Sus scrofa: one gene and its partners. The protein of the gene in region 1 binds, or shares a complex with, the protein of each later gene. Links are inferred from orthologs where the notes say so. Each region holds a gene or a part of one and is shown in the gene's direction. Other genes may lie near its edges. The genes, in order: KIF11, MYSM1 and RBM10.

The links.
Region 2: KIF11 (region 1) and MYSM1 share a complex: the UniProt entries of both Homo sapiens proteins name them as parts of the large chromatin remodeling complex. The link is inferred for Sus scrofa from reciprocal best matches to the Homo sapiens genes KIF11 and MYSM1.
Region 3: KIF11 (region 1) and RBM10 share a complex: the UniProt entries of both Homo sapiens proteins name them as parts of the large chromatin remodeling complex. The link is inferred for Sus scrofa from reciprocal best matches to the Homo sapiens genes KIF11 and RBM10.

The regions. Positions count from the first base shown.
Region 1 is NC_010456.5:104,126,894-104,136,280, forward strand, and holds part of KIF11 (kinesin-like protein KIF11), read left to right. Parts: intron 1-4,988; coding exon 4,989-5,121; intron 5,122-5,350; coding exon 5,351-5,448; intron 5,449-5,543; coding exon 5,544-5,622; intron 5,623-6,436; coding exon 6,437-6,622; intron 6,623-6,744; coding exon 6,745-6,869; intron 6,870-9,387. UniProt on the Homo sapiens protein: Motor protein required for establishing a bipolar spindle and thus contributing to chromosome congression during mitosis. Required in non-mitotic cells for transport of secretory proteins from the Golgi complex to the cell surface.
Region 2 is NC_010448.4:153,750,537-153,760,670, forward strand, and holds the start of MYSM1 (histone H2A deubiquitinase MYSM1), read left to right. Parts: upstream 1-5,203; 5' UTR 5,204-5,660; coding exon 5,661-5,725; intron 5,726-9,654; coding exon 9,655-9,730; intron 9,731-10,134. UniProt on the Homo sapiens protein: Metalloprotease with deubiquitinase activity that plays important regulator roles in hematopoietic stem cell function, blood cell production and immune response.
Region 3 is NC_010461.5:41,769,646-41,779,639, forward strand, and holds the start of RBM10 (RNA-binding protein 10), read left to right. Parts: upstream 1-4,252; 5' UTR 4,253-4,574; coding exon 4,575-4,644; intron 4,645-6,551; coding exon 6,552-6,693; intron 6,694-9,994. Other genes in the region: NDUFB11 (NADH dehydrogenase [ubiquinone] 1 beta subcomplex subunit 11, mitochondrial), read right to left, coding at 1,481-1,804, 3,596-3,802. UniProt on the Homo sapiens protein: Binds to ssRNA containing the consensus sequence 5'-AGGUAA-3'. May be involved in post-transcriptional processing, most probably in mRNA splicing. Binds to RNA homopolymers, with a preference for poly(G) and poly(U) and little for poly(A).

The DNA.
Region 1 (9,387 bases):
TGTACAAATTGCTTAATTGGATTTATTCAGCTTTTTAGAGGCCCTTTACAGTTTACTGGTGTATGTGTGTTTTGTGTGTCTATTTTTGTTGTTATTGTTTCAAAAACTCTGCCATCAGCAACTTTCATGGAAATCCAAACATATTCTAAAATTAAAAGGTTATTTTCAAAGTGTATCAACAAACTTTCTTAGGTTATTGCCTACACAGCTTTGGTGACTTGAATTGTTGATATCAAAGGTAATAGCTTTTTAAACTGGATGCCAGAGAGGAAATTTGATGGTAAACTTAAGTATAACCAATTACTAGTTGCACTCTAGGGCTTCTGCTAATAGTTAACCTGTTTTGAAGATTTTTTAAAAAGCAGCCCATGTTACAAATGCAAATTTTCACATGATTTTTATTGTTTAGTGACATCAGGCAGTATTACCTTTTCTGTGGGGCTTTAGTTTTTTAAATTTCATTTTTATTGCTAGTTACAAATAGGTCAGACCTGTAAAAAATTACAAGGAACAGTGTAACAAACATTTGTGTATCCATCACTCAGATTAGAAACAAAACAGTCATTACAGCTGGTGTCCCATTGTATCCCTCCCCAAAAGTTAAACATTATTCTGAACTCGTGTTTATTATTCCAATACATTTCAAGCCTTAACTTAAAAGAGATTTATTTTAGTTTATCGCTAATGAAAAGTGCTTGGGATGTGTCTAATATTTGTAACAATTTCAGTATAAAGAAATGCTTTTCTTTTCAGATTAGACTAATTAGAAAAGTGCAGTTGATTTACAGTGTTGTGCTAATTTCTGCTGTATAGCCAAGTGACCTAGTTATTTTTTTCTTTTAAAAAATTTTTTTATTAAAGCATAGTTGATTTACAACGTTTTTTCAATTTCTGCTATACAGCAGTGACCCAGCCACACACACACACACACACACACACACACACACACACACACACACACACACACACACACATTCTTTTTTTTTCATGCTATCTTCCATTATGTTCCAACCCAAGAGACTGTACACAGTTCCCTGTGCTGTAGAGTAGGACCTCATTACTTAACCGTTCTAAATGTAATAGTTTGCATCTACCAGCCCCAAACTCCTCATTCATCCCTGTCTCTTCCCCCTCCCCCCTGGTAAACACAAGTCTGCTCTCCATGTCCATGATCTGTTTCTATTTTGCAGATAGGATCCTTTGTGTCATATTTTAGATTCTGCATATAAGTGATATCATGTCTGACTTACTTCACTTACTATGGGAATCTCTTAGTATGAAAATCCATGTCTGCAAATGGCATTATTTTGTTCTTTTTTATGGCTAAGTAGTATTCCATTGTATATATGTACCACATCTTCTTTATCCAGTTGTCTGTTGATGGACATTTGGGTTGTTTCCATGTCTTGGCTATTGTGAATATTGCTGCAGTGAACATAGGATGCATGTATCTTTTCGAATGAAGGCTTTGTCCAGATTATATCCTTTTTTTTAATATTCATTTCCATTACAGTTTATTATTTCAGGAGATCGAATATAGTTCCCTGTCCTATGCAGTAGGACCTCATTGTCTATCCATTCCAAATGTGATAGTTTGCATCTACTACCCCTCAACTCCCAGTCCATCCCATTCCCTCCCACTTCCTCTTTGGCAACCACAAGTCTGTTCTCTATGTCTATGGCTTTTTCTATTTCAAATAGCCTTCCTAGTGCAAGTATGTCCTTAAGCTTGAGTAAATAAACAACTATGAGGCCCTCAGGGGTTGTCAGATCCTTCAGCAAAGGGCACAGATAGTAAATATTTTAGGCTTTGCAGACTGCATGTGGTCTCTGTCACATACTCTTCTCTAATTTTTTTTTTTTCAGTTTTAAACTTTTAATTGGCACAGTTTATTGTAGTGTAAGAGATTAGCAAGATTTCAAGAGAGATAGATGACCTCATTACTTGATTACAATGAACACAATCTTTTTGATGTTCTTTACTTGTATAGTAACTAATTATATGAATATTTATGGATGAATGAATGAATGGATTTCCACTGACAGGATTTTTTCTTTTTTTTTAAATTTTCTTTCTTTTCTTTTTTTTTGTCTTTTTGACTTTTTCTAGGGCTGCTTCCCACGGCATATGGAGGTTCCCAGACTAGGGGTCTAGTTGGAGCTATAACCGCTGGCCTACACCAGAGCAACAGCAATGCAGGATCCAAGCCGTGTCTGCGACCTACATGACAGCTCATGGCAATGCCGGATCCTTAACCCACTGAGCAAGGCCAGGGATTGAACCCGCAACCTCATGGTTCCTAGTCGGATTCATTAACCACTGCGCCACGACGGGAACTCCTTTTAATTTTCAATTTCCCTTCTTACCATCTTGGTTGTTTGAATTTTAATATAACTGTAATGAAGTCAATGTATTGATGGGTTTGTTAGTGTCATCAGCAGAAACCTTGAAGTTTCTGATTAGAGAAGTCTGGGTGGAAAATAGTGGCTTGGCAGTATTCTTTTTTTTTTTTTTTTTTTTGTCTTTTTACTATTTCTTGGGCCGCTCCCACGGCATATGGAGGTTCCCAGGCTAGGGGTCGAATCAGAGCTGTAGCCACCGGCCTACGCCAGAGCCACAGCAACTTGGGATCTGAGCTGCGTCTGCAGCCTACACCACAGCTCACGGCAACACCGGATCGTTAATCCACTGAGCAAGGGCAGGGACCGAACCCGCAACCTCATGGTTCCTAGTCGGATTCGTTAACCACTGCGTCACAATGGGAACTCCGACAGTATTCTTTATTGCAGTACGAACAATTCCTAAAGCTCCTCTTGGAGTATTAATAACTTAGTATGTGTGACTTGTGTGAATTTCTATTACTCTGACCTGAGAACTTGAATGGTATTCATTTGGTACCTTAATCACACAACCAGACAAGAGATTCGACCAATTGGAAAAGCTTTAACCACATGAGAGCAATTCATTCTATCTGATACTTTTGGCCTACCTCAGTATAAGTTTGTTTTGACTCAATTTGGTTGAACATTTAAAATACTGCATACAGTGGGTTGTGTGCATTGTGTAAGTTTTCATACATTTGATAAATGACAGCATTACCAGATATTACCTGGGAGTTACTGAGTTAAATTTCTTAAGATCACAATTTGATCTTCTGACCAGTCAAAATATGCTAAGTGTGGGGGCATGCATGCCAGAGGACATATCCTTTTTAAAATAAATAGCAACTTGGTTCATTTAGTGATGAGGGCAAAGATAATTTCCTGTTTGGCATTTCCTGTCACAATATGTGATAATGAATGGGAAAAATGAACTTAGGTCTTAAGAGTGTACCTCTTGGGAGTTCCCATGTTACTTAGTAGGTTAAGAACTCGACTGGTACCCATGAAGACATGGGTTTGATCCATGGCCTCTCTCAGTGGGTTAAGGATCCAGCATTTCCATGAGCTGTGGTGTAGGAGACAGACGCAGCTCAGGTCTGGCATTGCTTATGACTGTGGTGTAGGCCGGCATTTGCAGCTCTGATCTGACCCCTAGCCTGGGAACTTCCACATGCTGCAGATGCAGCCCTAAAAACAAACAAAAAAAGAGTATACCTCTCCCTTTGGCCCAGATGTGCGTTAAGTACATCAGTATCTTATGCATGGTTCTTTTTAGCTTTCCCATCATTCTCTTTAAGATGACATCTATTAAGCAGTATAGTTTAATAGATATTTGAGTGTCTAGTGTGTGCTGAGCATGGTAATAGACCCTAGGGAAACAGTAAATTAAACAGGATCTTTGCTTACACTGTGAGGTTGGTACTATTACCAAGCTCAATTTTCAAATGAGGAGACAGGCTTAAAGGACTACATTGCCCAAGTGGACTGGATCAAGAGTCATCATTATACTCAAGTGCCTAAGGAAGCCTTTAGCTTAGATTTCTTCCTCACGGAGTCTTTCCTAACACTCATGCCTTCCCTGTCCCAATCAAGAACACATTAAATTTTTTGAGTTTTTTTTTTTTTTTTTTTGGTCATCTTTTTATGGCTGTACCCATGGCATGTGGAAGTTCCCAAGTTAGGGGTTGAATGGGAGCTGCAACTGCCTGCCACAGCCACAGCCAGAGCCACGCCAGATCCAGGCCTCATCTGCAACCTATACCACAGCTCACGGCAACACCTGATCCTTAACCCCCTGAGTGAGGCCATTGATCGAACCTGTATCCTCATGGATGCTAGTCAGATTCGTTTCCACTGAGCCACGATGGGATCTCTCTAGAGCACATTAAATATTTGCTCTATGTTCCTACAGCACCTTTTACTTACCCTTTCTAAACATCACTTCTCTTCGAATCACTTGTTTTATGTCACTGTTCCCCACTAGACCTCACACTTGTGAGGACAAGTTGAGTTAACATGGTGTATAAAGCATTTGGAACAGTGAATACCTGACATAGTACTCAATATATCAGTCATTATTATTATTATTATTTGTCTTTTCAGGGCCACACTCACAGCGTATGCAAGTTCATAGGCTAGGGGTTGAATTGGAGCTGCAGGTGCCAGCTTATACCACAGCCACAGTAACACCAGATCCAAGCCACATCTTCGATCTATACCACAACTCATGGCAATGCTGGATCCTTTAACCCACTGAGGGAGGCCAGGGATTGAACCCATGTCCTCATAGATACCAGTCGGGTTCGTAACCACTGAGCCACAACAGGAACCCTTAGTCATTATTTTTATCAATTTTGTTAGCATCTACTCCAACAAACTGTCATAATTGTACATACTTTTCAAAACTTTTTTTAAAAAACTTCTAGGAATTGAAATCCTTAAGATTCTGCTCTTGGCTTTTGCAGTATTCTTTAGGCTCCATTTAATCACTGTCAACAATGGTGTAGTAAAACTTCACATTGTTCTTTTCTGAGGTATTAATAAAAATGTCATCAGTACCTGATACCTAACAGATTTTGAATAACCTTGTGTGTTTCTTTTTATAGACCATTTAATTTGGCAGAACGGAAAGCTAATGCCCATTCTGTAGTAGAATGTGACCACGTAAGGAAAGAAGTTAGTGTACGAACTGGAGGACTGGCTGACAAGAGCTCACGGAAAACATATACTTTTGATATGGTACTTACTTCCTAAAATGCTGCTACTTCTTTGTTATTCACTAATGTAAAGATTTCCTAGTATACATATTTTCTCTAGGTTCTAGCATGCAGTTGCAAATTTCATTTGATTCTTTGAGTTGTCAAATGGTTTCTAGTGGGCTAAATAAGTTAATATATTAAAACCAAAATTATTAAAGTAATTTTGAATCTTTTTAAAAAAATAAACCCCCCCCCCCTTTTTTGGATAGGTTTTTGGAGCATCTACTAAACAAATTGATGTTTACCGAAGTGTTGTTTGTCCAATTCTGGATGAAGTTATTATGGGCTATAATTGCACTATTTTTGCGTGAGTGAAACATTATTTTCTAAATTGATGAAAAGGTTTAGATGCATGTATTTGGTTTCTGTTTGTTTGTTTAACACTTTTGTTAATTTTGACAGATATGGCCAAACTGGCACCGGAAAAACGTTTACAATGGAAGGTGAAAGGTCCCCTAATGAAGAGTATACTTGGGAGGAGGTATTTATTGTTTATAACAGACTTGTGTTTCTAAAGTGGCTAAAGTATACTGAATAAAAGCTGGTTGAAGGCCTCTGTCTTGAAATGGAAAAGATCAGTGTATGCATATAAAACACAAAGTTAAGATAAACTGCTACTGTAATAAAATTAAAGAATATGGTATGGTAATTAGGAGAGAGAGGACCAATACATATGGCACAGTTAAAGTGATAAGAGAAGGGCCTATTTAGGACAGAATAATTGGAGCAGAGTATTGTAGGAGAGTGGAATCAGTGGGTTAAGGATTCAGCTTATGTTGGATCCAGTTGCTGTGGCTGTGGTGTAGGCTGGCAGCTGCAGCTCTGATTCGACCCCTAGGCTGGACCCTAAGAAGAAAAAGAAAAAAAGTATACCTAGAAATTTGAGAAACAATTTGTTTTATGTCAGAATTAGGGAATATACTGTTAGGTGAGCCACTTTTCCGATTAAAGTGATGGTATTATTTCTGATGAGAAAAACTGGCAAGGGTTATTGAACTTGGCTTTATAAGTACCTTGGCTTAGTTGGTTTCTGTGTAATGCTCAGGCATGAAGTGGCTGCTGAGAATGACAGATTTGTGGAAGGTGGGAGGAAGAATAATTACTATTGAACAGACTGTTGTAAATGATTTATAAAAGTTGGCTTCTTAAATTTGGTTAGTTTTTTTTTTTTTCCTTGTTTTGACATTCTTATGTTTAAATATACTATAAAAGAGGCCCTTTTTATCTATGTCTTAACTGTTGCAGTAAATGGCATTCATGCTTTATTTAAGTGCTTATGAATATTATAATTTTAGGACCCTTTGGCTGGTATAATTCCACGTACTCTTCATCAAATTTTTGAGAAACTTACTGATAATGGTACTGAATTTTCAGTCAAAGTGTCTCTGTTGGAAATCTATAATGAAGAGCTTTTTGATCTTCTTAATCCATCTTCTGATGTTTCTGAGAGACTACAGATGTTTGATGATCCCCGTAACAAGGTAACTTCAGTCTTGGGAGAATAAAATGTCTCTAAATGTTACAGTTTTATACTTTGAAAAGTCTCTCTCTCTCTTTCTCCATATATAACCAATCTAATGAATGCCATTTAATATTTGGTCAGAGGGGAGTGATAATCAAAGGTTTAGAAGAAATTACGGTACATAACAAGAATGAGGTCTATCAAATTTTGGAGAAGGGAGCAGCAAAAAGGACAACTGCAGCAACTTTGATGAATGCCTACTCGAGGTGAGAAAGCCATTGTCTCCCCCACTACTCCACTCCCTCTTTAAGAAGAATTATGAACTTGGGCAATCAAATTGGGTCAAAGTCAGTGAGTCACACATCTAGACTGTATGCTAGATTGCAGGCCTTAGTAATTGGCTTGAGATTTATAGGGATAGCACCAATATTGGGAAAATGTTGAAAGGAGAACAAAGACAAGCTGAACTTGAGCAGAGTATTAAGTCTTTTTAACCAGAAGATTTCTTTACCCAAATGAAATCGTATGTGGGAGCCCAGATTAATGCAACTGTTGTAGTTGATTTGGCAATGGGAAGCTCAGAGGCTTATCTCCTCAGCCTTAGGAAAATTCTCCTTAAGCACTTTTTTGGAGCCCCTATGGATACTTAGAACACAGTTTGCAAATCGCTGGTTTGAGCAAGGATTAGAAGAACATCAAATAACAATTCCCCCCTCCCACCTTTATTGAGGTATGGATGACAAAAATTGTATATATTTAGGTTGTATGATGTGATTTTTTTTTTTTCCCAAAATGGCTTCATTTTAATGTAGGAAGGCAAATGGTCACTAACACTGGCTTTCAAGGGGAGAAAGGAGCATATTTGTTAGCATCCCTTATAGGATGAATCCCAGACTCCCCAAATGCAGTTTACCAAGTCAGAGGTGATTTTTTTTCTACTCATCTTCGAAGAAATGTCAGAATGTAATTGAAAGAGTTATGGATTAGGAGTTAGATATTTGAGATTAGTTCCAGATCTGCAGTCAACTAAATATGTTACTTTAGGTAAACTTACCTGAATATCATTCTCCCTGAGCTAGAGAAGGACTTTTAGGGCTAGTTCTCATTTTTTTGCTCTCTTACAGTTGGACATTTCTATACTATGCTATAGCAAGTATAACTACAACTCTAAATATGTATGCATTTAAAGAAAGAAGAAGAATAACATAACATCGTAGGGGTATAGATTATTTTATAATTTTAATTAATTTTTCCTATAATAGCTTTCCTTTTTATTTTCCTTTTTCAGGTGCTCCCATGGCATATGGAGTTCCCAGGCCAGGGATCAAATCCAGGCCACATCTGTGGCAATGCCAAATCCTTAACCCACTGCACTGAGCCCGGTATTGAACCTGCACTGCACAGAGACAGCAGAGACTGCACCACAGCAGGAACTCCTAGCTTTCCATTTTTAAAACTTAAGTTATAGGGTTCCCGTTGTGGCTTGGTGGAAATGAACCTGACTAGTATCCATGAGAATGTGGGTTTGATCCCTGGCCTTGCCTCGCTCAGTGGGTTGAGGATCCAGTGTTGCTGCAAGCTCCGACATAGGTAGCAGATGCAGCTCGAGTCTGGTGTTGTTGTGGCTGTGGTGTAGGCCAGAGGCTGCAGCTGTGATTTGACCCCTAATCTGGGAACTTCCACATGCTGCAGGTGCAGCCCTAAAAACAAACAAAACACAAAAAACTTGAGTTATAAACCAATCATAGAATGAAATTTCTGTTTTTCTTAAATTATTGGTTTATGACGTTATTTCTTTTTTTTGTTTGTTTGTTTGGCTGCACCCATGGCATGCAGAAGTTCCCGGGCTAGAGATCAAACCTGTGCTATAGCAGTGATAATGCTGTGTCCTTAACCTGCTGTGCCACCAGGGAACTCCTAAGACTTTATTTAGAATTTAGAGGAATGAACTTAAGAAAATTTCTTTTCTCTAAATTTTTTTTTTTTTTTGGCTTTTTGCCATTTCTTGGGCCGCTCCCGTGGCACGTGGAGCTTTGCAGGCTAGGGGTCTAATCGGAGCTGTAGCTGCCAGCCTACGCCAGAGCCACAGCAACGCGGGATCCGAGCCGAGTCTGCGACCTACACCACAGCTCACAGCAAGATTGTTAACCCACTGAGCAAGGGCAGGGATTGAACCCGCAACCTCATGGTTCCTAGTTGGATTTGTTAAGCACTGCGCCTTGACGGGAACTCCTCTCTAAATATTTTTCTATAAAATATAAAATTCCTATTCTGTAAATTTGAAAAATGTAGGATTTCCTTTTTTTTGATACATAGACTGGAGTAAAGATCTCTTCTTTTGAAAGTATATGATAAAGAGAAGGAAAACATAATTCACTTCTCCAAAATCAGAGTTGACTTCTATTCTCTAATTGTCTTAATTTCATCATCTTGAATTAAGAATGAGCAAACGGTAGGAAAACACGAGAAGCATGTTATAATTCAGATGATAGTTTGTATTTTTCCTTGTGATAGTTAAAATAATTTAAATAATTTTGGAGTTCTCCTGTGGCACATGGATTAAGGATCCTGCATTGTCACTGCAGCAGCTCCGGTCACCCCTGTGGTGAAGATTTGATCCCTGGTCCACAAACTTATGCATGCTGTGCAGCCAAGAAAGAAAAAACACTTTTAAATAACTTTGTAAAAATGATACTTACTGTAAAATTTTCCAAGTAATGTGGAAAGTACAAATGAAAAAGTTAAACATTACCATCTGGCAACCAACAATGACATTAACAATCG
Region 2 (10,134 bases), on another chromosome or scaffold:
ATTGCAGAGGAGTGGCTATTTGTTTGTGGATGGTCAGGAAAGTGTTAAGTGTTTATTGTTTATTGTTTGTTTGTTTGTTTTGTCTTTTTCTAGGGCTGCTCCCATGGCACATGGAGGTTCCCAGGCTAGGGGTCCAATTGGAGCTGTAGCTGCCGGCCTATGCCAGAGCTACAGCAACTCAGGATCTGAGCCATATCTGCCACCTACACCACAGCTCAAGGCAACGCCAGATCCTTAACCCACTGAGCGAGGCCATGGATTGAACCCACAACTTCACGGTTCCTAGTCAGATTCATTAACCACTGAGCCACAGTGGGAACTTCAGGAAAGTGTTAAGTGTTTAGTGTTAACACTAAAGTTGATTTTTCGTGTAGAAACAGAATTATAGAGATGATGAAGAGAAGGATGTTGGAGTGTATTTTGCGCACATGGATTTTATCACATGTGAGTTATAGGAATGAGAGTCAGCACAGGTTTACATTTGATCTTAAACAGTCCTTTAGAATCAGTACACGATGAACTATTTCGCTCAACTTATTTATCTTCTGCCTCCCCTCATTTCCTTCAAAGGTATAGACTATATTAATATATATGAGGAAGGCAATAGAGCTTCCTCAGTAATGGAAAGGAATGTTGAGGATCTATTTAGGTTTATACTTTTCCCCTTCTCTATTGTATTGTGTGTTTTTGGCCAAGATCGTAATTCAACTGCTGTATCTATTTCTCATTTAAAATATCCACTGATTATGTCCTTATAAAGTCAGTTCTTTGTTTTCAATAAAAACAAAACTCTGGCCTTATTAGTCTTTCCAATTGATTCAACCATCCATTCAATAATGGATTTATAACACAATGTCTGTGTTATAAAAACAATAACAACAACCAAAAAAACTGAAGAATTACATGTTGTATAAGAGAATTATTTAGGGCAACTGTCACAAACTGCAGGTCAGATGTAGTCTACATAAGAGTTTGTTTTGGGAGTTCCCGTCGTGGCGCAGTGGTTAACGAATCCGACTAGGAACCATGAGGTTGCGGGTTCGGTCCCTGTGCTTGCTCAGTGGGTTAACGATCCGGCGTTGCCATGAGCTGTGGTGTAGGTTGCAGACGCGGCTCGGATCCCGAGTTGCTGTGGCTCTGGTGTAGGCCGGTGGCTACAGCTCCGATTAGACCCCTAGCCTGGGAACCTCCATATGCCGCGGGAGTGGCCCAAGAAATAGCAAAAAGACAAAAAAAAAAAAGAGTTTGTTTTGTTCAGTAGTGGTTTTATTTTTAATTTAAATTGTTTTTCACAAATTAATCTTGATTTCTGGCTGGGCTTAAAAGAAAAATCAGATCTGGCAACTCTGAGCCAGAGTTTCAAATAGCACCAGAAAACCAGAGCTGTGTCAGGACCCACCCTTTCAAAAGGAGGGAAGAAGAAATAAAGGGAGGAAGAAAGAAAGAAGAGAAGGACAGACAGAGATGGGGAGGGAGACAGAGTGCTGCTGAGAATGTGGAAGCAGAAGTATGGATTTGTGGCAGAGGGGATAATTTTTCTGTGGCCCATACTTGACTAACCAGCCAATCAAATGTATGCCCAGGCAAACTCCAAAAGTCCCATACCCCTGTTTTGCCCATAACAATGTTCAATAATTGTGTGTGAGATGAATAAGAACAGGAACAAAGAATTTTACCCCAGAAGAGATTATTTCATGGGTGATTTTACGAATGAAGAAGTAGGAGTCTGGAGAGGGCAAGTAATTTGCCTGAAGCAATTCTAACAGAAGCCTGTAGTGGTTTTCAGATTGTACGTAAGGCTCGAGGTAACATAACAGAGAGGAAATGCAACATGGAACAGCATAGTGGGCATCTGCTGTTTTACCAACACAGCAGCCATTCCTCTTATTTTTGGGGGGAGCCACCATTCCTCCTAATCCCGTGTGGTCCACCTGGTTTCTGAGATAGTATAAGACTTAAGCATGGCCCACCACACTCATCTTCCTAGAACAATTTAGAAAGAGACATAAGCCTTCCACTGGGGGCTACTGAAGAAGAAAAGATGCAATTCTGAATGATACTATTAGTACCCAACCTAAGATGGCATGATGTGACAAAAAGATGATAAGCTACATTTCTTTGAGTAAATTGCTTGACTATTCTGAACCTCAGCTACCACATCTGTAAATAGAAGTAACAATTCCTTACCTCAAAGGGCTGTAAAGAAATAATGTATGTAAAATGCCTGGCACACAGTAGGAACTCATTAATGCTGGCATTTTTCATTCCCTTCCAAATAATGTCAGATGGATGCAACATTACTGTAATTAAAATGTAAGAAGTGCATTGGCAGACTTTCCTTACAACATACTGAGAACAGTTTTTTCAGTAGCACCTTATGTGATTTCAGGGAATTGTGGAGGGAAAATAAAATAAAATGCAGTTTGCTTTCCTGGAACAATTCAAGCCACATCCAATGCTTGCCAAGTGTAGCCTTTAATTCTATGTCTGCATTCATCTATTATCTCACCTCTATTTAGATAAAGTGGTTTTCCTCCCCACTCACTGGCCTTTTTGCTTTTCAAATGGGAACTCTTTTCAATCCCTGGCAATCATTTAGCTGACAATTTGGATCATAATATAATAACAACATTAGTGAGCAGTTGTATGACACTTCCCACTTTTAAAGCACTTTACAAATCTGGGCTAATTAGCATGACTACTAACATGCCAGCTTTTTATGGATTAATATTGCCACCATACTTTGCTTTTTCAATAAAAATGCAGTGATCTTTTTTTTCACCAGAAATGGGAGAAAATGAAATGAATAAGCTATCAAGCTATCTCTCCAATAAATTCAAACACAATGTAGCAGAGATATGAGACAGACACTTGATTGATTGTTCCTCCAAAAACTCAGGAAAATTTACAGATATGGCAACTCCTGCTAATTCTGTTTTAGGATCAACAAAGGAAATAGAGTGTATTAATGAGGCACAGAAAGTTTGTAAACCCAAGACAAGTTTCCAGGCTTCAGAATACACTTTCCATTCATTTCTAGCCCTAAGCACCTCAAAGACATCAGAAATACCTGATTGTGATTTATTCTTAAACCAAGTGAGAAAATATCATAGTAACACAAAATACCCTATTCTTTCTGTGGTAAATGAAAATGTAACAGAGTAAGGGTAGAGTGGGAAAGACTTGTGTTGGAAACCCAGCTCTGGTACTCAACTATGTAACTATCTGAAACTTAGTTTCCTCATCTCTAAAATGAAAGTGACTATATTTATTTTATTTTATTTTATTTTAGGCCACACCTGCAGCATATGGAAGTTCCCAGGCTAGGGGTCGAAATCGGAGCTACAGCAGCTTGCCTATGCCACAGCCATAACAACACAGGATCCAAGCAGCGTCTGCAATCTACACCATAGCTCACAGCAACAACGGATCTTTAACCCACCAAGTAGGGCCAGGGATCGAACCTGCATCCTCATGGAGACTAGTCAGATTCGTTTCCTCCGTGCCACAATGGGAACTCCTATATATTTTTAATTTTTAAATTTTTTTTGTCTTTTTGCCTCTTATAGGGCCGCTCCCGCAGCATATGGAGATTCCCAGGCTAGGGGTCTAATCGGAGCTGTAGAGCACACAGCAACGCGGGATCCATTGCTCACGGCAATACTGGGTCCTTAACCCACTGAGCAAGGCCAGGGATCAAACCAGAACCTCATGGTTCCTAGTCAGATTTGTTAACCACTGAGCCACGATGGGAATTCCTCCTATATATTTTTAAATAAATAGTTAAATTTAAACAGTAGACCAGGCTTCGGGAGTGTATTCAACTGTGGGGTTATAGCCACTTCCTTGCAGGTAGGGTTGAGCTATACCCTTAAGGAGCCTCGTTCACATAAAGCCAGCAAACCAGGTGCATAGGCGCATGTGTGGGGAGGATTCATATTAGTCTCCCTGTTTAGGGAGGCCTTTATGCCTAAAGGCCTTGGGGCATATTGGAATTCTGTGCAGGACTTTCCTTCCTTCCATATATATTTTAATGCCTATTGATGCCTAATACTGGGCCAGAAAGACTTCAGTTCTGTATTATAGGAGACACTGTTCATATGGTATTTTGTGTCTAGGAGACATTTGATACCCTGTGTGTCCAGGTAGTACTACAAGGGTTCCTATCCCACTTGTTTTGTAAAGATCAATGAAAGGCATCTATATTCTACAGCTCTGACCATCTGGCCATGTCCATCTTTCTAACCTTGCTATTAATTACATCTAACAAATATCTTAGAAAGCCTACTCTGTGCCAAGCATGCCAATTACCACTGAGACTGGTCACAGGATAGGCCCTTTAGCAACAGGATAACTTAAGGATGGAGCACTATTCAGTTTCTGAGCACTGGATCTCTCTCTTTACAAAACTTTCTCTCCATCTTTGGCCACACAGTTGTATTACAGCTCCTCTTATGGCTTGAGTGCAAGGGTGCATTGGGGCCAACTCAGAATATTGTGGGAAGTGAATTCATTCCATTAATTGATTGATTCACTCATCAGTTCAATATTTATTGAGCACCAACTGTGTCAGACATCATGTTGAATGTTGATACCTTAAGGACTAGTCCAAAGACTAGCAGATACAGCCTTTGTCCTTAATGAATTCATAGTCAGATGGTGGAGGCAGAAAAATGAATTAACAGCTACAATAATGTGAATGATAGATGCTAAGGTAGAAGAATACATAAGGGTAATATTTAATTTCTTAAAAAGCCTTAAGTTCTTTGAGAGAAATGGTGTTTGTCTCTCACAGTTCCTAACAACACAATTTGTACAGGTAAACACTCAGTAAAGTGTCAAAAGGTCTGGATTTTGGTCCCAGTTCTGTCTTTGACTAGCTGTCCATCCTTCTCATTAGTCATCTCAACTTTCTGAGCTTCAGTTTATCTGCAAAGGGTGACTGATGTTATTGGTCCTGCTTATCTCACTGGGTTTTGGCGTTTTCTTTGTTTCTGTTTTTTTGGCCACACCCAGCGGCATGCGTAAATTCCTGCGCTATGGTCAAACTCTTGCCACAAGCTTCTGCAGCGACAACGCCGGGCCCTTAACCTGCTGTACCATAAGGAAACTCCCTCACCAGGTTATTGTGAAGATCAACGGTGATGAGTGATTTTTTAATTAACTGTAAAGATATCTACGAAATAAAATACACAATCCTAAGTTATATTCTAAACTCTTTCCTGAATATTAAAACAGATGTTCAGCATTTTTATAAGTGCTGAATGATTCTATTCTAAAAAATAAAAACCAGCAGATAAGGGTCGCTGTTGCCACTTTCACATTCAAAGTCCGTCTGGCTTGATCTTTTCAGCACTCCAGGTATTTAGTATAAACCCCATTTTACAAATTAGAGAAGCGAGGCGCCAAAGAATTTATCCAAGACCACAACGTCTTCAAAATCCAAGCCTGGGCCACTTGCCAAGGTCTTTACACGTCAACAAAAGTCAGAAGAATCCAGACCCAGGACGCTAATATCTTTTCCCCGAAAGCCCCGCTTCTTGAGCCTGGGAGGGGCCGGTCGACGCCTCAACTCCGCCCCGTGACGCACGCAGCCCCGCCTTCACGCCCTCCACCTCTCGCGGGATCTCTCGAGAGCACGGCTGGGGTCAGGTCCCATCATGGCGGCAGAAGAGGCGGATGTGGATGTCGAAGGGGACGTCATGCCAGCGGCGGCACAGTCTGGGTGAGACATAGAGACCGGGTTTTGCAGAGACGAGGAGGGGCGCGGATGTGAGAAGGGTACCCTAGAAAGGCTGGGGTTCCGGAAGGGTCCAGGGGAGCGAAAGACCATCCGCTGGGGCCGGGGTCTCCCAGAGGCCTGGGCGGCGCCGCGCCCATCCCGCCGCCCGGCTCTTCCAAAGCGCAGCCGGCGAGTACCTGAGACTTGGGGCGGACAGCGTTTTCTCCTTTTGCTTGGATGCTGTGAGGGCGCCGGTCGCCCCTAGCACATTGCGGGCTCTTAAGCAATTACTTCTTCCGTTAGTGTCACCCTAGAATCCGCCCCCTTGCCACCGCCCAATAATCATGAGAACAAGGGCTGTCCCTAGATGGGACCTGAGCGTAGGGATTCTGGTACCATCGCCTGCAAGCCCTGTGACCTTGGGTGTGTCGTTTTATCCCTACTCCCTATCGATTTTCTCTTCCACATAAGGATAGTTGTGAAAAACTTCCAGAGAGGTATCGTGACTTAAAGGAAAGGGCAGGACGTAGAGTTAGACAGCTTTGGGTTCTCTTGTAATGGCTGGTCCTGCGAGATACTAGTAGTGTGACCTTGGGCCAGACTTTTAATTTGTCTGAGCCTCAGACAGTTCGTGAGTAGGCTGACGATCATGTTAGGTACCTCGTATGATTATTGTGAAGAAAAAATGAAGTGATTATGGGATAGGTGCTCTGTAGATGTGTTCTTTACCGGCCCGTTATCCCTAGGGGTGGTATTGTGAGGACTGCGGCGGGGGGGTGTCACAATTTATTTAGTATCTCTACCTGCAGAGCAGGCCAGTGGGGTTTTAAACAATAACCTTCAGCTTGAGACATCTAGCCCTTTGACTCCTTGCTTGCAGGGAATGAAAGCAACCATTTTTAAAATATGCTTTCAGAATCTCCTTTTAGTAATGGAAAAGGCCCAGATGGGTCAGGAATTCTAAGACCTCAGTTCTAAACTCAGCTATGTTGCTTGTACCTATAAAGAACGTTCGAAGTCTCTAGAACCATGTGGATTTGCCAATCTTAGACGGTTTTGACCTATTAAAAAGCAATTTCACGTGGTCGAACCTAGTGATAGGGCCTCTGTAAATTTTGAAGTGTACTGGCCCTGCCCATGAGGAACTAAGATAGTGGGTTTAAAGTTCTTCTGAACCCTAAAGCACTGTGAAAATGAGTAACCAACTTCATGTAGTCATTCTCCCTCAAATCTTTAGGCAAAATAGTCCAAAGCTATACAAATGGATAGGAAGGGTTTACTAACAATCATTGTTCACATTTGTGTAGACCTCGTTAATCTTGCACAAGTGCTTTTGCATGTGTGATTTAATTTGCTTTTCACAAGTCTGTGAAATAAGTGGGAGGGATTCTTATCTGCAGCCCAGAGAGAAATGAATTGGCCTTGGAAACACCAAAGATCAGCTGAGAGCATTGGCTCTATCTATCCGTTTTCCATAGGTTCTTTATTTTTCTGATTGTATTTTATTTTTATCCCTTTTTCTCTCTCTCTTTTTTTTTTTATTATTTTGCTTGAGCCTCAGTTTTATTGGTGGCACCTGTGATCATCTTAGTCTCATGTAACCAGTAATAGGGTTATTGGTTCCTGATGGTTAGAGCCATTGCCTTACAGAACTTCAGGGAGCATCAGTAACATATCCTGGTGAAAATTGCTCCCTGGTGTTAGGGCTCCAATCACATAGAATTTCTTGTGAATAAACACTTGAATTGTGTAGTTACAGCTGATAGCATTTGTGGAAGCCTTGAGGATTAATTAAAAACATGTTTAGGTCTCGCTAAGTGCTAGTTACCAAAGTTAGAAGATGGCGTTGCAATGGTTTGATTTCCTTTCTACCTATCCTGCCTCTCTTTCTCATTCTTGTTTTCTTCTGCTTGTTCTTTAAATCTTAATGTTTTGAAATTCCCTCTGTGGCATAGTGGGTTAAGGATCTGGTGATGCTGCAGCTGTGGCTCAAATTTGACCCCTGGCCTGGGAACTTCCATATGCCACAAATGCAGGGAAACACACACAAACAAAAAAACCTTTAATGTTCCAAGGGATTTTTGTCATAAGACTTTTCACTAACCACACAGTCTGTCTCTCAGGATTTAAATTTATTTGTTAGGTTGGACAGTATGAAATTTTGCCAATGTCCCACCATTTTTGACCTACAAAAATGATGTTTCCCAAATTTGTCACCAACTCAAATCTCTCTCCTGAGTTTCAGGTCCATTTATACAATTTTCTGAATCTCTCTGCCCTTGGGTGTTCTGCAGTCTCAGCTTATAAACTTTCTTCATCCAACCTGCCTCTCCAAGTTCTCTAAGTTCAGTCCACCCAGTCACACAAGGCATAGACGTAGACTTTATTCCTTTTCCTTACTTCTCGCATTCTATTCAGTCATTTATTAAGAGTTTATCGATTTTGAATATCCTCTCATATGTGTTCATTCTTCCTATTCACACTGCTTGTTCTTCAAATCTAAGTTATCATTGCCTCTCTCAAGTATTTATATAATCACTCTTAACTGTTCCTTGTCTCCTTGGCCCCCTTTTATTCTTTCCTGAAGTTAGAGCAGTCTTTTCTTAACATGCAGATCTGATCATGTTATTCCCCTTAATCCTCAACTGGGGAAGGAGTTCCCGTTGTGGTTCAGCGGAAACGAATCTGACTAGCATCTGTGAGGACGCAGGTTCGATCCTTGGCCTCACTTAGTGGGTTAAGGATCTGGTGTTGCTGTGAGCTGTGGTGCAGGTTACAGATGTAGCTCGGATCTGGCGTTGTGGCTGTGGTGTAGGCCAGTGACTGCAACTCTGATTCGACCCCTAGCCTGGGAACTTTCATCTGCCGAAGGTGTGGCCCTAAAAAGACAAAAAAAAAAAAAAAAAAAGAATCCTCAATTGGCTTTATGATAAGAAATCTTTATCCCTTAAGTCCTAGAAACCTGTGTTTCTGCTCTACCTACTTTGTTCATTTAATCATTCAATGAATATCCGTTATTTTCTATATGCCAAGTCCCGGCATATAGAGTCCTTGTTCTCATACAACTAACATTCTTATTGGATGAGACAGACAGTACACCTTATGTGTGTCCCAGAGGGAGATAAACTTGTAGAGAAGTTTTTGCAGTCTTAAGAGCTACAAAATTCTTATCACTAGACTACGTCTGAGAAAGGTCAGTAGCTAAGAAACTTTATAACTTCAAAGTATACAGAAGCAAGTATTAACTTTAATTATAACATAGATTGGACTGTCCCAAACTTAACCATTCAGCCTTTTTTCATATGAAGTGAACACTGTGACTTTAGAGACTTTTTATTAGTGAAAGAAGTGGAAATTAAGTTTAATCACCAGTGGATGTAGAAGAGCCCCCAAATAACCCAAGCTAACTTTTTTTTAATTGTTATTAAAACATCACATTTCTTATCTCTGCATTGTACTGTCCTCCTTTGAGTATTTTCTTTTTGGTTCTTCCATCTGTTCTTATTTTTCTTTTGAGGAAGGTGCTGTTGATGGGTAGCTTTTATGCTTTAGATATAACCAAAACAATTAATTGTAAAATTGAATTCCTATATCCACATTCATATCCATCAAAGAAAATCAGAAGAGTTGGTTCATAGCCACAGGACATATTGTGGTTGTGGCTTTGGGGTATTTTTTTTCCTCAGGAAGTTGTTTATTCTTAGGAAACAAAAGAAGTGAACAGACTTGATCAAAATAGCGTGGCTTAAAGCCACTTATATATTTCATAGGCCAGACATAGAGTAGACATCTGCAATGTTAAATCTCTTAAGGGGAGAAAGGAACTAAATTATTTGCTTAAGATCTGAAGCCTACCAGTCATTGTACTGTGTAAATCACATTCATTAACTGGTATAATCTCACTCTTATACCCATTTTCTTTATTATTACAGAAGTGATGAAAATACAGCATCTGTTTTACAAGACCACTATCTTGATTCATCGTGGAGAACTGAGAATGGTCTTATTGTAAGTATTTTGTGAAATTATCAAGTCCAGTGCCTAGAGAACTTTTTTTTTTAAACTTGGTTCTAGTTCTCAGCACAGAAGTAATACATTGAAGTATTTTTTCATTAAAAATAGAATGAACTTACTTCTACCTCTTTTGACTTTGAAAAATGGTCTTTTGGAAACAACTTTGGAGCCAGCTAGATTTAAGTACACATCGGTGCTCTCCCACTTATCAGATTTGTGAACCTCAGTTGGTTCATCTTAAAAAAAATGGGATCATTGCATGGTTCATTTCTTCATTTAGCAGTTATTTATTAAGTACTTACTATGTGCCAGACATAATAGGCCAAATTTGGGGGATACAGCTCATCAAGACAGACATGATCCTGTTCTCAAGGTGCTTATATTCTAAAGAGGAGTCA
Region 3 (9,994 bases), on another chromosome or scaffold:
CTCCATCTGCCAGATCCAGGGAGATGGACAGAGACAGAGAGAGCCTGAGAATAAGCCCACGATGCAAGGAGATAGCCAATAGCCAGAGAAAAATAATGTTGGGGATGGGGGGGCAGGGAGAGACTTCTGCTCGGAAGAGAGACACAGAAAGTCAGGGCAAGGGATAAGCGGGCAGTGAAACAGATACACATGCACACAGAGACATGTGTATCCTGAGTTAGAGACCACCCAGATGGGAGCAGAAGGGAAGAGTCATCCAGACTCACCAAGGCATGAGGCAGAGGCAGAAACCCCAAAGCTGAGGAGTTCCCACTGTGGCAGAAAGGGATGATTGGTGTCTTGGGAGCACTGGGATGCAGGTTTGACCCCTGGCCCAGCACAGTGGGTTAAGGATCCGGCGTTGCCGCAGCTATGGCTTAGGTTGCAACCCTGGCCCAGGAACTTCATATGCTGTGGGGTGGCCAAAAAGAAAAAAAAGAGGAGTTCCCATTGTGGCTCAACAGTAATGAACCCAACTAGTATCCATGAGGATGCGGGTTCAATCCCTGGCCTTGCTCAGTGGGTTAAGGATCCGGTGTTGCCGTGAGCTGTGGTGTAGGTTGCAGACGTGGCTCGGATCTGGCATGGCTGTGGCTGTGGCATGAGCCGGCGGCTATAGCTCTGACTGATCCCTAGCCTGGGAAAAGGAAGAAAGGAGGGAGGGAGGAAAGAAGGAAGGAAGCCCAAAGCCAAGAGAAGAAGGCAGGGATGGAGACAAGCACTCATCCTCAGCAAAAGAAGAGCCCTGCTCTCAGCCGCCACCCTCAATCCCTGGCCACCCTGGCCCTTCTTCCAACATAGGAGGTTTCGGTGTGGTAGCTTTATTCTAAAGACGGCTGCCATCAGTTTCTTCCTACGTGCTACACCTCCATTCAAAGGAGCGCTTAACCACCATATACAAAGCCCAGGCTATTCTGCTGGAGGGAGAGGCCACATAGCAGACTGAAGTACCAGACATGGAAGTAAAGAAGCCATCCTGGATGTCCAGCCCAGCTGAGCCTCCAGATGACTCTGGGCCCAGCCACCATCTGACTGCAACCACGCAAGACCCCAAGAAGGACCACCTAGTTGAGCCCAGTCAACCACTGGACCATGAAAGATAATACCAAATTATTGTTTTAAGCCACTAAGTTTTAGGGTGTTTGTCACATGGCAACAGCTAACCTGCATACCTAGAAAAAGCTTTTAAAGCCTGACACCCCCACTCCCACAGCCCCCTCACAACAAAAGCAACACCAGCCAGGCACATTTTCAGTCCCTTTAATTAGGTGCTCTGAGAGAAGGGCAGAATGGCAGACAGGAGATAAAGAAAGAGGTGCTTCTTAAGCCTCTCTCGGCCCCAGGTCAGTCCTCATCCTCCGGCAGCTGGATCTTGTTGGGGTCGAAGCAGTTGGATTCCATGAGGGGGAGGCCGTTGGCCTCTCGGTATTTCACGAGCCTCTCAGCTTCCCGGCGGGCCCACTCCTGCATCCTGGAGGCAGCAGCGTGGGGGTAGACTTGAGGGAGCCTCCATGGACACCAATCCCCATCTTAGCTCCCATTGCTGCACAGGGACAGGATTCCTGACAGTCTCTTTAAAGCTCCACCCCTGCCTCTGCCCCCACCCACCCCACTCTCTTGGACACCCCATGCACCTGTAGTCAGGCAGATAAGCCACAAAGGTGCTGCCAAGGACCAAGACGATGGAGAAGCCAAAGAAGAAGACGACCCGCATGTTCCAGAGGTCCACAATGGGGTCCTTGTCATAACCGTGGGAATCTGGGTTCTGAGGCAAAGAGAAGAAGAGGTCAATGAAGGCTTCCTGCCACTCCACAAAGCAGTATAACCCGATCTCCAATTTCACCTTGGACCAAGCTCCTCCCTCCCTTCCTAAATTCCTCTCTATTCTTAGGATTTGTCAAGCTCCTTCCCACCACAGGGCCTTTGCACTTGCTCTTTCCTCTGCTGGGAAAGCTTTTCCCGCCGACCTAGCTGTGGCTGGATCTGCCTCCTCAATCAAGGTTTTGGCTTCATCATCGCTCCCCTCAGGAGGCATTTCCTAGTCACCTTGTCTATTAAGTTGAGCTAGAGCAAACTGACATTTTTAACAGGTCAAAAATTATTGAATATTGGCAATTTCCTATGGCTCAAACTAATAAAATAACTCCCTACCCCAAGTCACTATCCATTCACTTATCTTGCTTAACAGTCTTTCTAGCATTTACTTGTTTGCCAAAGCAGTATAGCCCCCAAATCCTCTGATCACATTATCTTATATTATTGATTGCATACTTTATATCACTGGGTTTTTTTTCTTTTTTATCTTTTTGCCTTTTCTAGGGCCGCTCCCACGGCATGTGGAGGCTCCCAGGCTAGGGGTCCAATCAGAGCTGTAGCTGCTGGTCTACACCACAGCCACAGCAACTTGGGATCCGAGCCACGTCTTCGACCTACACCACAGCCCACAGCAACACCGGATCCTTAACCCACTGAGTAAGGCCAAGGATCGAACCTGCACCCTCATGGTTCCTAGTCGGATTCGTTAACCACTGAGCCACGACAGGAATTCCTCTATATCACTGTTTTCTAATATTCTATACATTTATTTTCCCTGTTCTCTGCTATCATGTATGCTCTGTGAAAGCAAGGGCTTTATCTAACTCCCATGTGGCTGAATCCCTAGCACCCTGAACTTAGCCTGGCACACAGCAGGCCTTCAATACATATTTACAGAATTAATATATAAATGAATAAGCATCCTACAGAGCCAAGCTCCTCAACCAAAGGTTAGTATTGATGAAGCATCTATCACGTGCCAGGCCTTTTCACAAGCACAAACTGCACAATATCCTGGTAAGGTGGAAAGTGGCAAGAATAATTAACAGCTTCTAATGGTGAGTACTTAATAAGTGCCAATTGCTGTTCTGAGCACTCTGACTCATTTAATTACACGAGGCAGGTGTAATATTTTATTTTTTAGAAAGTGTCCTAATACTTTCCCCATCTTTCAAAGAAACTGAAGCACCAAGGGGTTAAGCTACTCGCCCAAGGTCACATATGTAAGTAACTATCAGGGCCTGTATTCCAACTCAGGCATTCTGATTTCAGTCTCTGCTAACAGGATAGCACAGCAGACCTGATTCTGCCACACATTCAGTTAAGTGAGCTTGGAGGAGTCACTTAACACCTTCATGCTTCAGTTTCCTCATCTGCAGAATGGGTATATTAATAGTACCTACCTCGAAATAGGGCTGTTTTGAGGATTAAATAAGTTAATATTATAAAGTGTTTCGAACACCTGAGCAAGGACCGTATCAGTGTTTAATATTATTGCTGTTATGGTATACTGCTCATTTCAGGTTTGATATCTGTCTGGAAAATAAGGTCAGTCTCGCCTCTGGCCCTGAACCGAAGGTTATCAGGGGACAAAGGAGGAAAAGGAGCTAGAAAGAACTCCCAAATCTTTGAGGATTTTGCCAGCTGCGCAATCCTCAGCCGACTAAGTACGTCCTCTACGGCGCCCCGTCCGCAGGTCCCCGATTGACCCTTGCGGCGTCCCGTTTCCCCTCCCTCTCACCTTCTCATAGAGGTTTTCGTCCTCCGGATCTGGGTCCTCCTGCAAGCGTATAGTCGGTTCCGGCGGCCGCTTTCCCACCAGAGCGGACGGGGCGATCACAGCCCTGGAGGAGCCGGACTCCCAGCGAACACGGGCAGCCGGGAGCCCTCGCGTCGCCGCTGCTGCTAAAAGGCGGCGAGCGCACAAACCTAACACCCCGGCCGCCATGACAGCTCGTTCTGCAGGCTCGCGGGGGCGGGGACGGAAATGTGACTCTGCGCAGCTGCAGTTGGGCCTGAGCGCGAGAATTGTCGCTCCGCCCCCGCCGCACTAAATAGGTCCCGAGTTGGGATTTTGTTTTCAAACGTCCTCTTTCCCTCCCTCTGTCATGGCCTCACGGGAGCAACCAGCTTCCTATCTTCTCGGTCAGGCTGTGGAATTTCTGGCCGAAAAGGCTGCTTATTTTCTTGACGAGAAGAAAACGGTGACACTTGGGTGGATGCAGTCCCCAACCAATCTCGAGGAGAGTTCCCGTGCCCTTTGGCGAGAGGGGCGGAGCTTCCGCTGGTCTTTCATCTTCCTAGGAAGCCGAGCTTCTAAAAAGCGGGCCTCGCCGGATTGGCCAATAGCTACTCTTTTTCTCGACTTGCGGGCGTTCGCACGGGGAGCGGGGTGGTGGCATGCGCTTGCCAATCAGAGCAGGCCAGGGCTGGCCCACGAAGGACGGCGACCAATAGACGGGGCCGGCCAGAGCGCGCTCCCTTAGTAGGTGGATGGTGGTCGAAGCGCCGGCTCCCTTCTCGTCGTCGCCATTTTGTGCTGGTGATCGCGGCCGGCTGGGAGTAGGCGGCAGTGAGTTGCCCGGGGAGGGCAGCGCGCCTGGGCGCTCCTTCCCTCCCCAGTCCTCCGCCCTTCCGCATTCAGCCTCGGACTGGGTCGTTGCGCGGACCGGCTCCGGCTGAGCTGGGAGAGTTGGAGGAGGTGGCGGCGGGCCGAGGTGATGTCCGGGAGCCCTCCCTTGACAGCCCGGGCCGAGAAGGTGAGCGTCGACGCTGGTCGTGGGGGCGGAGGTAAGGGACCGGGGGCGGGGGTGGGGGGGGGAACGCGTAGAGGAGGCGCGAGGGCGAACTGCGGGCGGCAGGTTTGGGTTTTCGTGCAGAACCCCCGATGCTCACACGGTCTGTGCTCGGGAGGGGGTGTCTTTTTTTGTTGTTGTTTTTTGTTTTTCTCCTTTTGAGAGCAGAGGCGCGTGCGCGATTGGGACACAGGATGGGTGCACGCGGGTTGGGGGAAGGGAGGGACGGATGGGAGTGGGTTACTGTGGCTTAGTGTGTCTGCGACGCCGAACTTTATCCGTGGGAGGCGAGTGTCTGCGACTTTGGTTTTTATCTATAGGAAGTGTGCTGTCTGCTCTCCTGTGTGACTTTGGTACTTACCTATCCACGGGGAAGTGTTTGGTGGCTCTGGTCCTTATTCTTGAGTGGGGGAGGAGGGAGAACGTATGACTGGGGTCTCTATCCTCGGATCGTGTGTCCGTAACCCTGGTCCTTATCCATGGGGAGGGGTCCTTATCCCAGAAAGTCTTCTTACAACTGGCCCTAATCCACTTACTGGGTGGGAGGAAGTGCAAGGAACGTGTGTAAGACTTAGTGTCCCTTCTTTGCGGGGGTGGGGGGTGGGGGAAGAGGGTGTTTCGTATCTGTTACTCTGACGCTCATCCTGTGAAAGGGGGCCTCAGTGGATGATTATGGCTTGTATTTACCCTGGATTCCTGTCTGTGATTTTGGCCCCTAGTTATTCGGGGCTTGACTCTGTTGAGTTTGTTCCCTATCTGTTGTGGATACCAGTGTATAACCCTGGCTCCTTTGCCAGATCTAAAGGGTTTTGTGTCCGGCTCTCATCCACTGGAGCCCCTGGTCGTGATTCTAACTCTTAGCCATCCGGGAGCGGGTAGCGCTGGTTCTCTGTGGCTTGAGGAGGAAGAGAAAATCGGTGTGAGTGTATCCGCGGAGGAAAGGTGTAGTGGCAACCTAGTTTGGGGCAGGTGCTGTTACCACCTGGCTTTGCCTGAGTCTTGTTCAGAGGGTGGGGCCTAAAGATTCCGGGATACTTTGTGGTGACCCCTGGCCTGGTCTCAAGGCTCTCAGGCCTTCCTTAGTTCTCACCGGAGCCTGAGGGTTGGGTAAAGTGACTGCCCATACGTCCCGGAGGAATAACACATCGGTTCAGAACAGGCTCCGAAAGGACTCGTTTTGCTTCTGAACAACTCGGGTCCAGAGCTCTGGGGAGGGAGCCCCCTTGGGGGACCTGGCTGTGCATAAGAGACAGGGCTCAGGGCTGAGCCAGTTGCGGTGCGGAGCCAAAACTGTGTTGGCCAGGAGCCTAGGGAGGCGGCAGCTGTGTCATTGCCAAGTTAGCCCCGTCACCCCCTGAGCCTTTCGTGGTCTCCTGCCGTGTCAGAGTGGGCAGCCAGCGTCTTTGGGGGAGGATGAAATATTCCCTGGAGGCTCGCGGATGGTAGCCTGGTGGGTGCCTGGGACCCCTGTTGTGGTGTCTTGCCCCGATGTCTAATGTGCCTGATCTGAGACAAGTCACCCAGCACTGAGAGCCCACTCTCCCCTGCTGCCCGCCCGGGCAGATAGCTCTGGGCTTGAACTTGTCTACCAGTCTCCAATGGCAGAGCCCTGATCACAGACAGCATGGGTGGCGCCACTGGGTCTCTCTGCGAGATGCTCCCCCTCTGCTGAAGGCTATGCTGTGTCTAGGGTGGCGGGCTCTAGCTTCACGTTTGTGGGGAAAGAAAGGAAGGAGCAAGCCAAACAGGGACTGCCTTCCTGCTCTGGTCCCCAGGAGTATTTCGAGTTGGGAAACAACATCGCTGGGCTCAGGGACAGCAGAGAGCCTTGAAAAGGTTTTTTCAAGGAACCCGTCTCTGCCTCAACTGCCTTGACCCCTTTCTTCCTTCTCCTCTCCCTAGAGTCCCTGCAGGAGGCATCGCCCAGGCTGGCAGATCATGGTGGCAGCAGCGGGGGTGGCTGGGAAGTGAAACGGAGCCAGCGGCTGAGGAGGGGCCCCAGCAGCCCCCGCAGGCCGTATCAGGACATGGAGTATGAAAGACGGTGAGTTACCCACTCCTACCCCTTCCAAGCAGCCTAGGCTTGTCCTTGTGTGCGAACTGACCCAGGAAAGCGCTGGGAGGGGGCTTCCGGGCAGGGGGAAGGAAAAAAAAAAACAGCACAGCAGATGATTGGTTTCTTTTCAGCAGATGTTTATTTGGCACTTGTGAGCCAGAACTTGCGCTAGGCTCTGAGAGTGCATTGGTGAATGAGATAGATAAGATTGCAGCCTTTGGAGTTCCTGTTGTGGCTCAGCAGGTTAAGAACCCAACATAGTGTCCATGAGGATGTGGGTTGAATCCCTGGCCTCTCTCAGTGGGTTAAGGATCCAGCGTTGCCAAGCTGCAGTGTAGGTCGCAGATGTGGCTCAGATCTGGGGTGGCTGTGGTGTAGGCCAGCAGCTATAGCTCCCTAGCCTGGGAACCTCCATATGCTGCAGATGTGTGGCCATAAAAACAACAAAAATAGGATTGCAGCCTTCTCCTTACTTAGGGTCTCACAGGGGATATTACACAGTTACAGATGATTACAAAACAGCTTGATTGGTGTCGTGTTTGGTTACAGGGTGGGAAGGGATCAAGAGAAAGGGAGGAATGGAGGCTGATGCCCAGGTTTCCAGTCTGGTTGACCCAGATAGGTATATGGTGCCATCCACTAAGATGTGGACAGCCCCTGCAGGAAGAGAGGCGTAGGTGGGTGGCAGGTGGGTGGTGGGTTGTAAGTGCCTGTGGATTCTCAGGGGAAAGGTGTGGGCTGTAGCTTTGGGTTTGAGGGATGGATGGGAGTGGTGCCTTCAGAATCAGGAATTGCCCAGGTCAAGTATGGGGCAAGCCAGGTCAGCAGGTAGAACTCAGCACTGCATTTTTAAGATCTGGGATTCAGGGACAGGGTGGGTTGAAGTTGGTGTGATATTTATCTTGGAATGGGACACTCTCGGATAGTTATTTTTAAACTCTGGTATGAACAAGAAACAGTTGGGACACTTGGTAAAATACAGAGATCCCTTTTAATGTCTTACAGAGGGTTTCTTCTACCTTTTAAAAACTGTAGAATTATAGTATCTCATTTTCTGAAAACTGAGCCCAAATTCTAGATGTGGTCATCATCAGTCTTTGTTTCAGAATATCTTTTGAAAGGCATTCAATTTTGGGTGGTATTCACTGGAAGCGCTCTGTGGCAATTTCTTAGTTTGTGTAGGTAACATACTTGCTTCAGACTTTATTACCAAATAAAACCACTGACTTTCTTTTGGCTTTTAAAGGACCCCAAGTGCAAAGGTTTGAGTTAATCATAGTTTTTCACCTCAAGGTAGGCTTCTATCATAGGTTGGTACAAGACCTTATATTTATTTTTTCCTTTTTATTTGCAATTCCCATAGCTGTAGGCAGCTGCTCTGTTGTGTTTGAAATGTACCTTCCAAAATATGTAGTGTTGTTTTCAGTGTCTGTGTTTTCAATTTACACAAATGGTAGAGTGCTACAGTCTTCATTCTGTTTCCTGAACTTTGTACTACTCAGCACTGCGTTTTTAAGATCTGTCTGTATGTATGTTAGTTGCCATATGTATGTTAGTTTTTTGCTTCTAATTGGTCCCAGGGACACCCTGAGGTGTGCCTACTGCCTTTTATTTAGCCATTCCCCAAGGCTCTATACCTGTTCTTAATTTTGGTGTGCTGAAAATCATCACTTTCTTTTCTTTTTTTCTTTTGCTTTTTTTAGGGCTGCACTTGAGGCATATGGAGGTTCCCAGGCTAGGGGTCTAATCAGAGCTACAGCTGCTGGCCACAGCCACAGCCATGCAGGATCCAAACCTCGTCTGCCACCTACACCACAACTCACGGCCACGCTAGATCCTTAACCCACTGAGTGAGGCAGGGATCGAACTCGCAACCTCACGGTTCCTAGTTGGATTCATTTCTGCTGTGCCATGATGGGAGCTCCTGAAAATGATCACTTTTTCATCTTACAGTCTATCCTTTCAGAATCTTCTCTGTTCCTACCTCTGGATCACACAAAGGTTATTCTCTGTAGTTCTGCCTTTTGCACTCAGGTCTTTAAATCCATCTAGAGTCCACTTTTGAATATGGTATAAGGTAGGTTCTGGTTTTATTTTCCTCCAAATGGTGAGCAGTTTTCCCAGTATCACCCCTGAAATAGTCCGTTCTTTCTTTATTAATTTGCAGTACCTCTCATTTCAAGTTCCTTCATGTACATGGATCTGTCTTGAATGATCTGATTCATTTCAGTGATCTGTTCTTCAGAGTTGATCTAGCCATTTGCAGAGCCTTATGTAAAAAGCTTATCAAGTCCTTCAGAAAATTCAAGAATTTTGATTGAGATTGTATTGAATTTTATTAATTTGAGGAGAATTGTCATCTTTGTAAGCAGTCATCCAAGAGCTGTATGGTAAATATTTTGGAGTTCATTTAAAGGCCGTAAATCTGAATAAACTAAAAATACAAGTCTTGGGTGTTCTTTTTTAATTGATGTGTAGACGATGTACAATACTTTTTAAGTTTCAAGGGTACAGCATAGTGATAATTTTTTAAAGATTATTTATAGTTATTATAAAATACTGGCTATGAACTCTACTGTACACCACAGCCTTGTATCTTACTTGTGTTATATATAGTAATTTGTACCTCTTAATGCCCTACCTCTATCTCGCCCTCCCCTTTCCTCTTCCCCCTGGTAACCACTAGTTCTCTTTATCTGGGATTCTGTTTCTTTTTTGTTACATTGACTAGTTTGTTAATTTTTAGATTCCATGTAGGCGATATCAGAATTTTCTTTCTCTGACTTATTTCACTTAGCATAATACCCTCCAAGTCCATCCATGTTGTTGCAAATGGCAAAATTTCATTCTTTTAATGGCTGAGCAGTATTCCTGTGTGCGTGTGTGTCTGTATGTATATATACACACGTGCACATACATATATACTGTATCTTCTTTATCCATTCATCTGTTGTTGGACACTTAGGTTGCTTCCAACCTAAATAATGTAAATAATGCTGCTGTGGGGGTGCATGTACCTTTTCTTTTCTTTTTTTTTTTTTTTTTTTTTTTTGTCTTTTTGCTATTTCTTGGGCCGCTCCCGTGGCATATGGAAGCTCCCAGGCTAGGGGTCAAATCGGAGCTGTAGCCACCAGCCTATGCCAGAGCCACAGCAACGCGGGATCCGAGCCGCGTCTGCAACCTACACCACAGCTCACGGCAACGCCGGATCGTTAACCCACTGAGCAAGGGCAGGGACCGAACCCGCAACCTCATGGTTCCTAGTTGAATTCGTTAACCACTGCGCCAC